Linked DNA regions of Drosophila melanogaster. Changing the gene in region 2 together with the main gene of any one other region gives a genetic interaction. Each region holds a gene or a part of one and is shown on either strand. Other genes may lie near its edges.

Region 1 (4,840 bases), on a different chromosome or scaffold from region 2:
ATCAGTGGACAACGAGAGTCACCTGATGCGCAATACCATCGAACCGGAATCCGAGGAGAACGCGTTGGACTCCAATTACTGGTTGAACAAAAAGTCGGTGAAGAAGGAGCAGGCAGATCAACTGGCAGAGTAAATGAAAATGCCCTTAAATTTACATTATTTCGATGTGTTTATTTCTCAAATCCTCCAGAGACTCGAGACCACCCAAGGACATGGAAAAGAGGAAGCGCAGTGGTTACTTGCGCTATCCGGAGCAGCCAAATACCATGGAGGAGGCACTCAGCCTGGGCAGCGCTCCCTACGAGACCCTAAACGACGCCTATCTGGGCAACAAGAACTACATTGTGGGCTCCAACCAGTGCCCCATTATCGAGTCCATGGCGGAGCGCTGTCGGGGCGTCGATCTCATCTCCGGAGACATTAACCAGGAGCTCCTGCCCCTCTGCGGTGTTCACCAGATATGCTATCTATGTGTAAGTGAAAACAGGATGCCTGAGTCGAGTATGGTTAACTATAGTTTACCCATTGCATTTCCGTTTCCAGGGTGCCTCACAGGTAGCCTGCGACTATCAGTACTTGGCGGAGGCGGATAGCGTTTGCGGCGACAGCAACGACTGCCAGTCGGCGGCCCGTTCCATCCTGATGATCCTGCGGGGATCACACGGCCGGCAGCTGGGTCCTAGGGAGTGCTTGAAGAATCCCTGCTTGTACAGGGCCATGCGGGAGATTGGGCTTTAAGCGAACTGCTCCGAATTGCCGCCCAGTGTTTTCCTAACGTCTCTTTTGTGTGCGTTTAAAAAGAAAATCATAAATCGAAAATGAAAATGACAACCCCGCAATGCAAAGCAGAGAGAGAGAGAGAGAGAAGATAACAATATGAGCCCAAAAAACCAATATAAAAACCTTGCTGAACTGGCAAAAATCAAACAAACGATTGATTCAAAACCAAATAGTCGTCGCATACAATGACATAATATTTTGATGGATTTTCCTGACCGCCTCGCGAGGCGGCAGCAGCCAACTAGAGTTTACCAGATACCTAAAGAGATGCATATAGATATACATACAATTTGGATTCAGTTAATCGCAGTAGACGCCCGATGCGGCCCGATTTATTTGGTTTAAGTGTTCAGCGTAAAATGGAATTTTTCGAAACATATTTGCACGTTTTATGGGTGTTTAAGTGTACAAACGTGATCATAGACGAAACATAACACACATACATATGCTTAACCAAGACATACAAGTATTTAATCCACAGCCAGCTTTTTAAGTAACTCAACTCGCTTGACATTCTAAGCAAAATGAAAGGCAGAGCTCACATTGGCAGCTAGTCCTCCAAAGTCACCGTCAGAATTCTTCTATTCGGTTTGACTTGGATGTGTGCACATACATACGTGCGTGTGCCATACCATAATACACTATACACATTATACATATATAACGATTTTAGCCTACACCGGGAAAAAAACTATGTATCTTTGCGAACGCCAAATGCAGAGCAACTAACTATAGTATCTGAGACTTCTCTCTCCGCATTACTTGTCTACAGATGAACATATACATTAATGTGTTTCAACGTGCTTACAATAAATGGACATAACTAAGACAAATATTTGAAGCTCTAACAAATCTATAGATGTGATTATTAATATATACAAGGAGTTTAATAAATGTGTAAATCTTTTAGGGCCAGCATATATACCAATCTGAACAACAGCAAGACGTTTGGTTGCGAAATCAAAATATTATTAATGTATTTACATAAACGAACAAATATATATATTTAAACTTGATGTATATGCTACAGTTTGAAAAACAAAACAAAACAGAACAAAAACCCATATTTGAAAATATTTATTGCTATACAGTTATCATAAATGTCGAATATAAATATATCGGGAATATCCCAAAAACGTATGGCCTTTTTTCTCGGATGTTTTCAAATTATTTGCGAATGTTCCGAGTTAAGTGTCATATTTTGTTTCCCCTTTTCAATTGTAACTCGCAAAATCACAAAATCATGAGCATCAGTGTTTTCCTGGAGTTCCTGACATAATGGATCCGTCTGGACAGTTTGTGGTTCCCCAAGTGCGAAAACAATATCTTAACCAGACCGAAAAATATATTTCCTTTCCTATTTACCGACGCCCAGGAGTGATAAAGAGATCTATTGCATCTTCTTTTACTGCCAAACATCAAGAAAATTTCAAGAAAAACATGAAAGACTAGCGACGGCCTTGTTTCCATTCACCTTTCATAATGATTTAGTAAATGTTAAAAAAAACCTATATTGTATTTTATTAACTTAGCTACCGGTAATGGTTTGTGTCACTGCTAAGCTTCTTGCTTGAGTCAATGCTGCCCATTGTTTAAACATCGCATTTAAAGACCAGTATCGATAGCAATATCGAATAAATAATCGACACTTGTACCACCGCTAGCACTCATTCTGAAAACAACCTTGCGCGTAATAAATATTTTCGTAAAATTATTTAGCGAAACCAAAATAAAAATCAAACGATTCGTTGGCCGATAAAACCGGTGATTAAGCAGTGGCAGTGCAGAAAGCAGAAAACACAAAAGTACAGATTGTGCTAATCAAATTTTGCAAGCAAAGTTCCCACCCACTGGTGAGTAAGAAGAAGAGCGAGTTATTCGCATGACTCATCGCGAAACGAGTTTTTATCAGATTGTTTTCATTCCGTTTTCGTCTCTTTCACTTCATCCGAATCAGATTGACGTCATTGCTTGAGCAAACATGAAAACCCCCGTTTCCGCTGCTGCGAACTTAAGTATTCAGAATGCTGGCAGTTCCGGAGCAACTGCCATTCAGATCATACCTAAAACCGAGCCCGTTGGAGAAGAAGGCCCCATGTCACTGGACTTTCAGTCGCCGAACCTGAACACATCCACCCCGAATCCTAACAAGCGTCCCGGCTCGCTGGATCTGAACAGCAAGAGTGCCAAGAACAAGCGCATCTTCGCACCACTGGTCATCAACTCACCGGATCTGTCATCCAAGACGGTAAACACACCCGATTTGGAGAAGATCCTGCTATCCAACAATCTGATGCAAACACCGCAGCCGGGAAAGGTGTTCCCCACCAAGGCGGGGCCCGTCACCGTGGAGCAGTTGGACTTCGGCAGGGGATTCGAGGAGGCCTTACACAATCTTCACACTAACTCCCAGGCATTTCCGTCCGCCAATTCCGCCGCTAATTCCGCCGCCAATAACACAACTGCGGCAGCCATGACAGCGGTGAACAATGGCATCAGCGGAGGCACCTTCACCTACACCAACATGACCGAGGGCTTCTCGGTGATTAAGGACGAGCCCGTCAATCAAGCCAGCTCGCCCACCGTTAATCCCATTGACATGGAAGCGCAGGAGAAGATCAAGCTGGAGCGCAAGAGGCAGCGTAACCGTGTGGCTGCATCCAAGTGCCGCAAGCGCAAGTTGGAGCGCATCTCAAAGCTGGAGGATCGCGTGAAGGTACTTAAGGGCGAGAACGTCGACCTGGCTAGCATCGTGAAGAACCTCAAGGACCATGTGGCGCAGCTGAAGCAGCAGGTGATGGAGCACATTGCCGCGGGCTGCACGGTGCCGCCGAACTCGACAGACCAATAACATTTGGAGTTGTCAGCCGGGGAGAATGATGAGGAGGACGTGGCACTGGAGACTGAAACCCCCTCGAATCCTGAAGATCCCGAGCAACCCATGCCTCTGGAATTCTTTTCAAGTGCTAGCACCGGTGCCTTGGAGCTGGAGGGCTCGGCCTCTCAGGATATTTCCCTAACTAACAGCGAACTCCTGGAGGAGGAGAGCGATAACGAACAGCCTCTGGTGCTCTACATCCTCGCGGACGACGCAACCTGAGGCTTTGTGCCTTTCTTTGGTTTTAGCTGCAATATCTGAAATGCTTCTTAAGTGTTTTGTTTACTTAGTTATTAGTATAAGCTAGTGTTAATCAAGTATTATCTGTGTTGAACGTAAGATAATATGTAATGTACTTTTAAAATATACGTATATTTTCTGCACTTGATATATACATAAAAAAATTATTTCTACGCCTTAAACTTATTTATTCATCATCCTCCTCTTCGTCATCATCGTCGTCGTTGTCATCCATGGCCTCGGCCTCGGCCTCCTCTTCCATTGCGCTATCAGCCTGTTCCTCGTCGTTCACATCATCCTCGACATGCAGCTGGAAGCCTTCGCTTTTTGTCCACGAGCACTTCATGGTCAGCCGAAATTTGGCCATGGGCTTGCCCACCAGCTTGAGGATTCTCGCCTGTTCGGGTGTTAGAACTTTGCCCTCCTCACAAACCGTGTAGTCACTGTACAGCGTAACGATTCCCTTCTCCAATTTGGTGGGCAGGCCCAGGGAACGCAGATGCGGTTCCATAGAGTGGGCGAAGTCCTCTAGGGGACCTGCTGGCAGGGTAACCGTTTCCGTGGCCACAAAGCCACTGCGTGCGTATTCCACGGCCCAGTAGTTTTCTGCCCACTCCAGGACTTCCTCCTTGGATTTGTCCGTGAAAAGCAGTCCCACCTGGCCAGTTAATCGCTTGGATAGCTAATAGACATAGCCTGTGATTAGTGTCTGATATATGTTAATCCACTTAAACTTAATTACCTTGTGCAATTCCGGCTCCACTTCCTCGCTCTTCGTGCGACCCAAGCCAATCTGCATAACACGATTCTTGCCAAAGATAAAACGAGAATTCTTTTTCAACTCCTGTCGCAGATCCTTCAGCAAGCTATTCCTCATGTTCTGAACTTGGAAAACGAATATATTTGGGTATTTGCCCACGCAGAACCGAATGTCGTCCACAA
Region 2 (5,138 bases):
TGAGCATTTCGCGATGATGCCATGCGACTGTGGGTTATCTGGGGTTGTATGCTGGCCAAAAATCCATCTAAGCCTTATTAATTGCTGGCCACGGGTTGAGAACAAGGTGAAAACATTTTTAATTGCGGTTTCGGATAATCGCGGATTACACTTTTTGAACGTACTAACAATGGTAGCCATTATTTTGGGTATTTAATTGGAGGAGATAAAATGGGATAACATATTGTTGATACTTTTATACTTGACACACAAAACACAACAGAAGATGCAGATAAGAAAGTGATTCCTAGTTGTGATTGTTTCTATTTTCCTAACATCTTTAGTTGGGAAAAACAAAATTACTGCATAATTACAATATAGTTTGTAGTAATCAAATATTTGCTATTGGATAACTTGTCATTTCAGAAGAATTAGATAAGATAACAAAATACAAAACAATAATATTTGTACTTCAAATGGAAAACAATTTGGACTTTGTTAATTTGTGGATAAGGTTAAAGGAATGCAACAAGTGTAAATTATGTCCAATCCAATTGATATTTTAAATACATTGAAAGTAAGTATTGCGAATTTTATATATTTTTACTAAGTATTCAAAACATCCATATACTGTGAAATATTTTCGAAACGAATCATGTAGCTTAAATGGAAATAATTGACTTAAACAATGTGTTCGATTAGTCAGTCAATTGCTGTCCCACTTTTCAGACAGATTTTCCCATCCTCTAACCAAAGAAAATCTAGAACTCACCTCACCCACGAATTTTTGTTGTTTGATTGGCAACCGATTGTCGGTTGATTGACAAACTGTTTGAATGTGTGCGAGGAGGGGCAGTGACTTTACGATGACATGGCTAACGACTATTGTATACCCTTGAAACGTAACCTTCTTGCTTCTTAAGCTAATACTATTTAATAATAGCAATTGATTTAGAGAGCATTTTACCTTCGGCTTCAGTTTGAGGAAATTTTATTTATGTTTCTGCCAGCTGATAAGCGGCTGTCGATTGTTTTTTAGGCGCTAACATACGGACAACAATTCAATCAAGTATCCATCACAAACACACGCATTGACAGCCGTGCCCAGATAAGCAAATGGTTGGATAACAAAGGCCTACACAGATAATACCAATCGCAAACACAGGGAAGCATTCGGGTTTGTTTGTATGCGTGAATATTTGCTATAAAGTCGAAAGAAAAAAAGTTTATCGCACGCAAACAAAAACGACCTTCGGTAATGATGCCTTTGTATTTACCTAGCCATATTAATGTCGCGTCGGTTTCTTATTGCCAATTTGCCATTTTAAGGTACAAGTATATTTTCGAAAGCATACACGTTAAGATTCCGTTCTTCTCTTCCTGGGTTTTTATGTGCAACTGCTGCTGCATGATTGTAAATATTTTGGGATTTCATTTTATTTTTCCCTGGCACGCTTATTCATTTCCCGCCTGTTTACATTTTAATTGCTCGGTCAGCACTGGCGTTAAAATTTTTAAATCAAGAAGATCACAAAAGCGTTTTCCCTCGCATTCTCAACATTTGTATCTCTCTTTTTTTCGGTCAGCAAAGTACACCGCATATAGAGTGCCCTACAAAATCTGAGTACTAGTTAAATATTTATTCCAGTGAAATAGACTGATAAAAGGCCAAACAATTAATCTTAATACGCAGAAGTACCGTTCAAGATTGTGGAAAATTTCGAAAATTTTATACGGTGCTCTTAAAACATTCTGAAACAAACTGAAACAAGCGACCTAAAACTTATTTTTAAGTGTATTTATGTTTATAAGCCAAAATAAAATCCTACAAGTTTAAAACATTTTTATTGCTTAGATAATTTATTTACCAAAAAGTTATCACGAATGCAAATATACCTGTGCTGCAGTTACTGCTTCTCCGTAATTGCTTTCTGTTTTGTATAACAACAATAATATTTATTTCATAATATTTACTTTATTTTCCAAACAGTGCATTGTTATTTGGCCGGTAATGTTTACTAATTTGCGTGCTGTTGTCATTGCAAAAAATGTACCAACATGTTACATCTTTGTGCACTTTTGTTTCCGGCTTTGTGACAATTGAGTGCATAAACTTAATTACTGTCAAGATGTCACAACAGCAAGGCAATTGGATGATCGAGTGATATACTATTTGTTTTCAGAGATATAAGGAAACACTATGAAGACTCATTTCATGCTTTATGTGTTCGGGAAATAAAGTTCTTGAACATTTCATGTATACAACACTATTAATTATAGTATTCTCAATTATTCTCTTTTGATTTGTACGTTGTTTACTGCTGGCAGTTTTTTTTTTAAATTTCTTTAAAAATTACGTTTTTTTTTTACCATTCACAACTTTGGCCTCCAACTTAGTGTTTACTCCTTTTCTTGAAAAATGAGGCTAAGAAAGCCTGGGAAAATTACCTACACATCAACAAAGTGTAAACAATGATTTTTGTGAAAATAGACCAAGTTTTTTAACTCGCACACAAAAGCACGGAAATTGGCGAAAGAAACGAATTCAACTAACGGACGAAAAAGCTTAGGTCATTGACCAAAAAAAGAAATAACATTGCAAAGAGCGCTAGACTGCTCAGCTCTCTCTTACTATTTCTCTTTATAGTTCGAACACGTTTTCCAAGTAAAAATCCAACGACGCCACTTTTACCTGCGTTTGTGTGTGTGTGTGCATAGGTGAGTGAGCTCCCCACTCACCTATGCACACACACACGCGAGCGGTACAAAACCATTCTGTTATTTTCCTTGTTTACAAAAGCAACAAAACCAAATTGTTGTTATTGCTTTTGTATTGCTACCAAAGAGGCGCGCTTACGTCATTCATAATATTAAAGCGCAAAGAGAGAGTCTAGAACTACAACAACAGCAATAAGAGCACGAAAGCAATCTGGCACATGCTGTTTTTGTTGGGACTGAAATTACCTGAGGAATAATTTAACCATTTTGTGCATTTTGCGCTCTCTTCTCGACTATTTTGTTTAATCAATTCTTTACGGCAGCTCCATTGTTTTCAGACCGCACTCTCATTTGCGTGGAGCCGATTCACTTGGCACGTTTTAGAAAAAAACAAAACATCCTTTGGTTTATTACTCAGCAAGCATTTGGTTCACTGTTGTCACATTTTAAACAATTAGTTTATTGTATTTGCATTAGGAAACTGTTGGGTTCTCTTTAGATTTCTAAATTCGTCTCTGGTGTGACCAGCTGGTGGAACGGCGAAAATACTATCGAGTATTTGGTAACACTAATGCTTGTACAGAATGTTAACATTTGTGAGTGAATTTTGTAAGTTGGTTAACACCACGTAAAAACTGTGAAACTTATTTAATTAATATATATTATATATTAAAGCATGCTGTCTTTGCAGCAGTGCTGATATCTTTTATAAAAAAACAACTTAAGATGAAAAAGAGGTAAAATATATTGTAAGAGTTCACATTTTCGGTACCTGATTGTTTCCATATACACTTGGGTAAATAAGTACAAAATTCATTTGTCGAGAAAAAGTTACATTGGCACCATTGTATAACAGTTCAAAGTTAATGATGTTTGATGCTGCCAATGTAAATTCTTCAGATAACGAGCCTTGCCATCTTAATAGATTAGGAATACAAGCGTTGCCACCAAAATTTTAACGAACGTATACTCAGTTGTATTCGATGGTTGTTGTCTTGGGTGCATGTAAAAATTAGCAGAAGAGCACTTTTTTGTGTTAAAATTAACATTTCAATAACATTGTAAAATTCTGTTAGGTAACAGTATCACAAATTTAAATCTATGTTATATTTGCTCTGATCTAACTTTTGCAAATTATTCAAGATTATTTTAAAATCCTGACATCGTGGGTATATCTGCATTATTATTAATGAAATGTTGTATTAACAAAATACGGAATGTGGAAATTAGAAAATTTTTTCTTTAAGATAATAGAAAAATTAGTAAAATCTTAATGTTCCCTTTTTAAATGAAAAATGTCTTTTCGAATAGTTCTTATTTACTAAATGTATATAATTTTGATTTGGAAGTGCCACTTCCAAGTGATATCAAGAATTAAGTGCTTGTGGCTAGTCATATCTGAGAAAGTGCATGAAGACTTGTAATACTTTGCCGCCTCTGCTGATTTAAGTATATTTTTAAAAGACAATTAAATGATTTGCCTGCAAGTGTTGCAGTAATGAATGGACCCAGAAGTGTTTGCTTCTTAATTGGCAATTTCCTAATGGCGAAATGCGTTTTGCACCTACTTTAAATGCCACCTTGGCGTATTGTTTTGGCTTAATTTAAATTACCTGTTTGAGTAATGAACAGTCTCAGCCACGGGCTGCAACAATAATAACGCGACTCTCAACTCATTATGCATTGTTTATTGCCACTCAAAGTAGCATTTTCACCCTCTTTCCAGCATTTTCCGAGCACTGCAGCATTACTCTTAATGCATGTGCAACAATAGGAAACTCCACTTCCACTTTTCTTCGCCCACCAACTCTTCTTGTGCACTGATATTTGGCTTTTCGCAGAAACAGTCGGAAAAACAGCAGCCTTTTCCTTAACATTTTCTTGTAAATAAATATCTATTAATAAGAAACTTACATAAATCATTTAAAAGGTGTGTATATATAAAACTATAAATTAAGAATTCGCTATTTATAAATAATTATGAATTGAATAAGTAAATCCCTTAAAATCATTTTGCTAGCAAAAATAGCAATTCAGTTATTGAATGGCCCCATTTTCATCTAAACTGGGATTTTCCCGATAGCTTTTCCTCGCAGCAGTAGGATCAGTGCAGTCACCGGATTTATATTGGCACATCCAGGTGTTCCTGGATGGCAAGTCAAGTCTGGCACTTCATTATGCACATTAAGATACAAGTTCTTTTCGCACTGACGAGGTGGTATCTTAACTTAATTTAACCAACTAGGGGCCAGCGGGCGGTCCTCTGAGGGGGCGGGTTTTCCGTGTGTGCCGCTAATGGGCTTAATAAAAAATGCAACATTTTGATTTAATTTAATTGAAATTCACGCCACTCGAGCAACTCCATTAGGCAGAAACGTGTCCGACGTCAAGGATGCAGATGATGGCAGCGTCGAGGAAATCAAATTACCCAGCGGCAGTGG

The links.
Region 1: of raw (region 2) and Jra, changing one suppresses a phenotype caused by changing the other (phenotypic suppression), as found in Drosophila melanogaster (3 studies listed by BioGRID).

Annotation. Positions count from the first base shown.
Region 1 is NT_033778.4:10,094,506-10,099,345, forward strand, and holds Jra (Jun-related antigen), read left to right. Parts: upstream 1-1,974; 5' UTR 1,975-2,091; intron 2,092-2,422; exon of another isoform or gene 2,423-2,499; 5' UTR 2,500-2,633; intron 2,634-2,737; 5' UTR 2,738-2,761; coding exon 2,762-3,631; coding exon of another isoform or gene 3,632-3,880; 3' UTR 3,881-4,051; downstream 4,052-4,840. Other genes in the region: CG2269 (uncharacterized protein), read left to right, coding at 1-129, 191-473, 544-738; RpLP0-like (ribosomal protein LP0-like), read right to left, coding at 4,086-4,580, 4,641-4,840.
Region 2 is NT_033779.5:8,737,442-8,742,579, forward strand, and holds the start of raw (raw), read right to left. Parts: upstream 3,220-5,138; 5' UTR 2,973-3,219; coding exon of another isoform or gene 2,944-2,972; intron 1-2,943.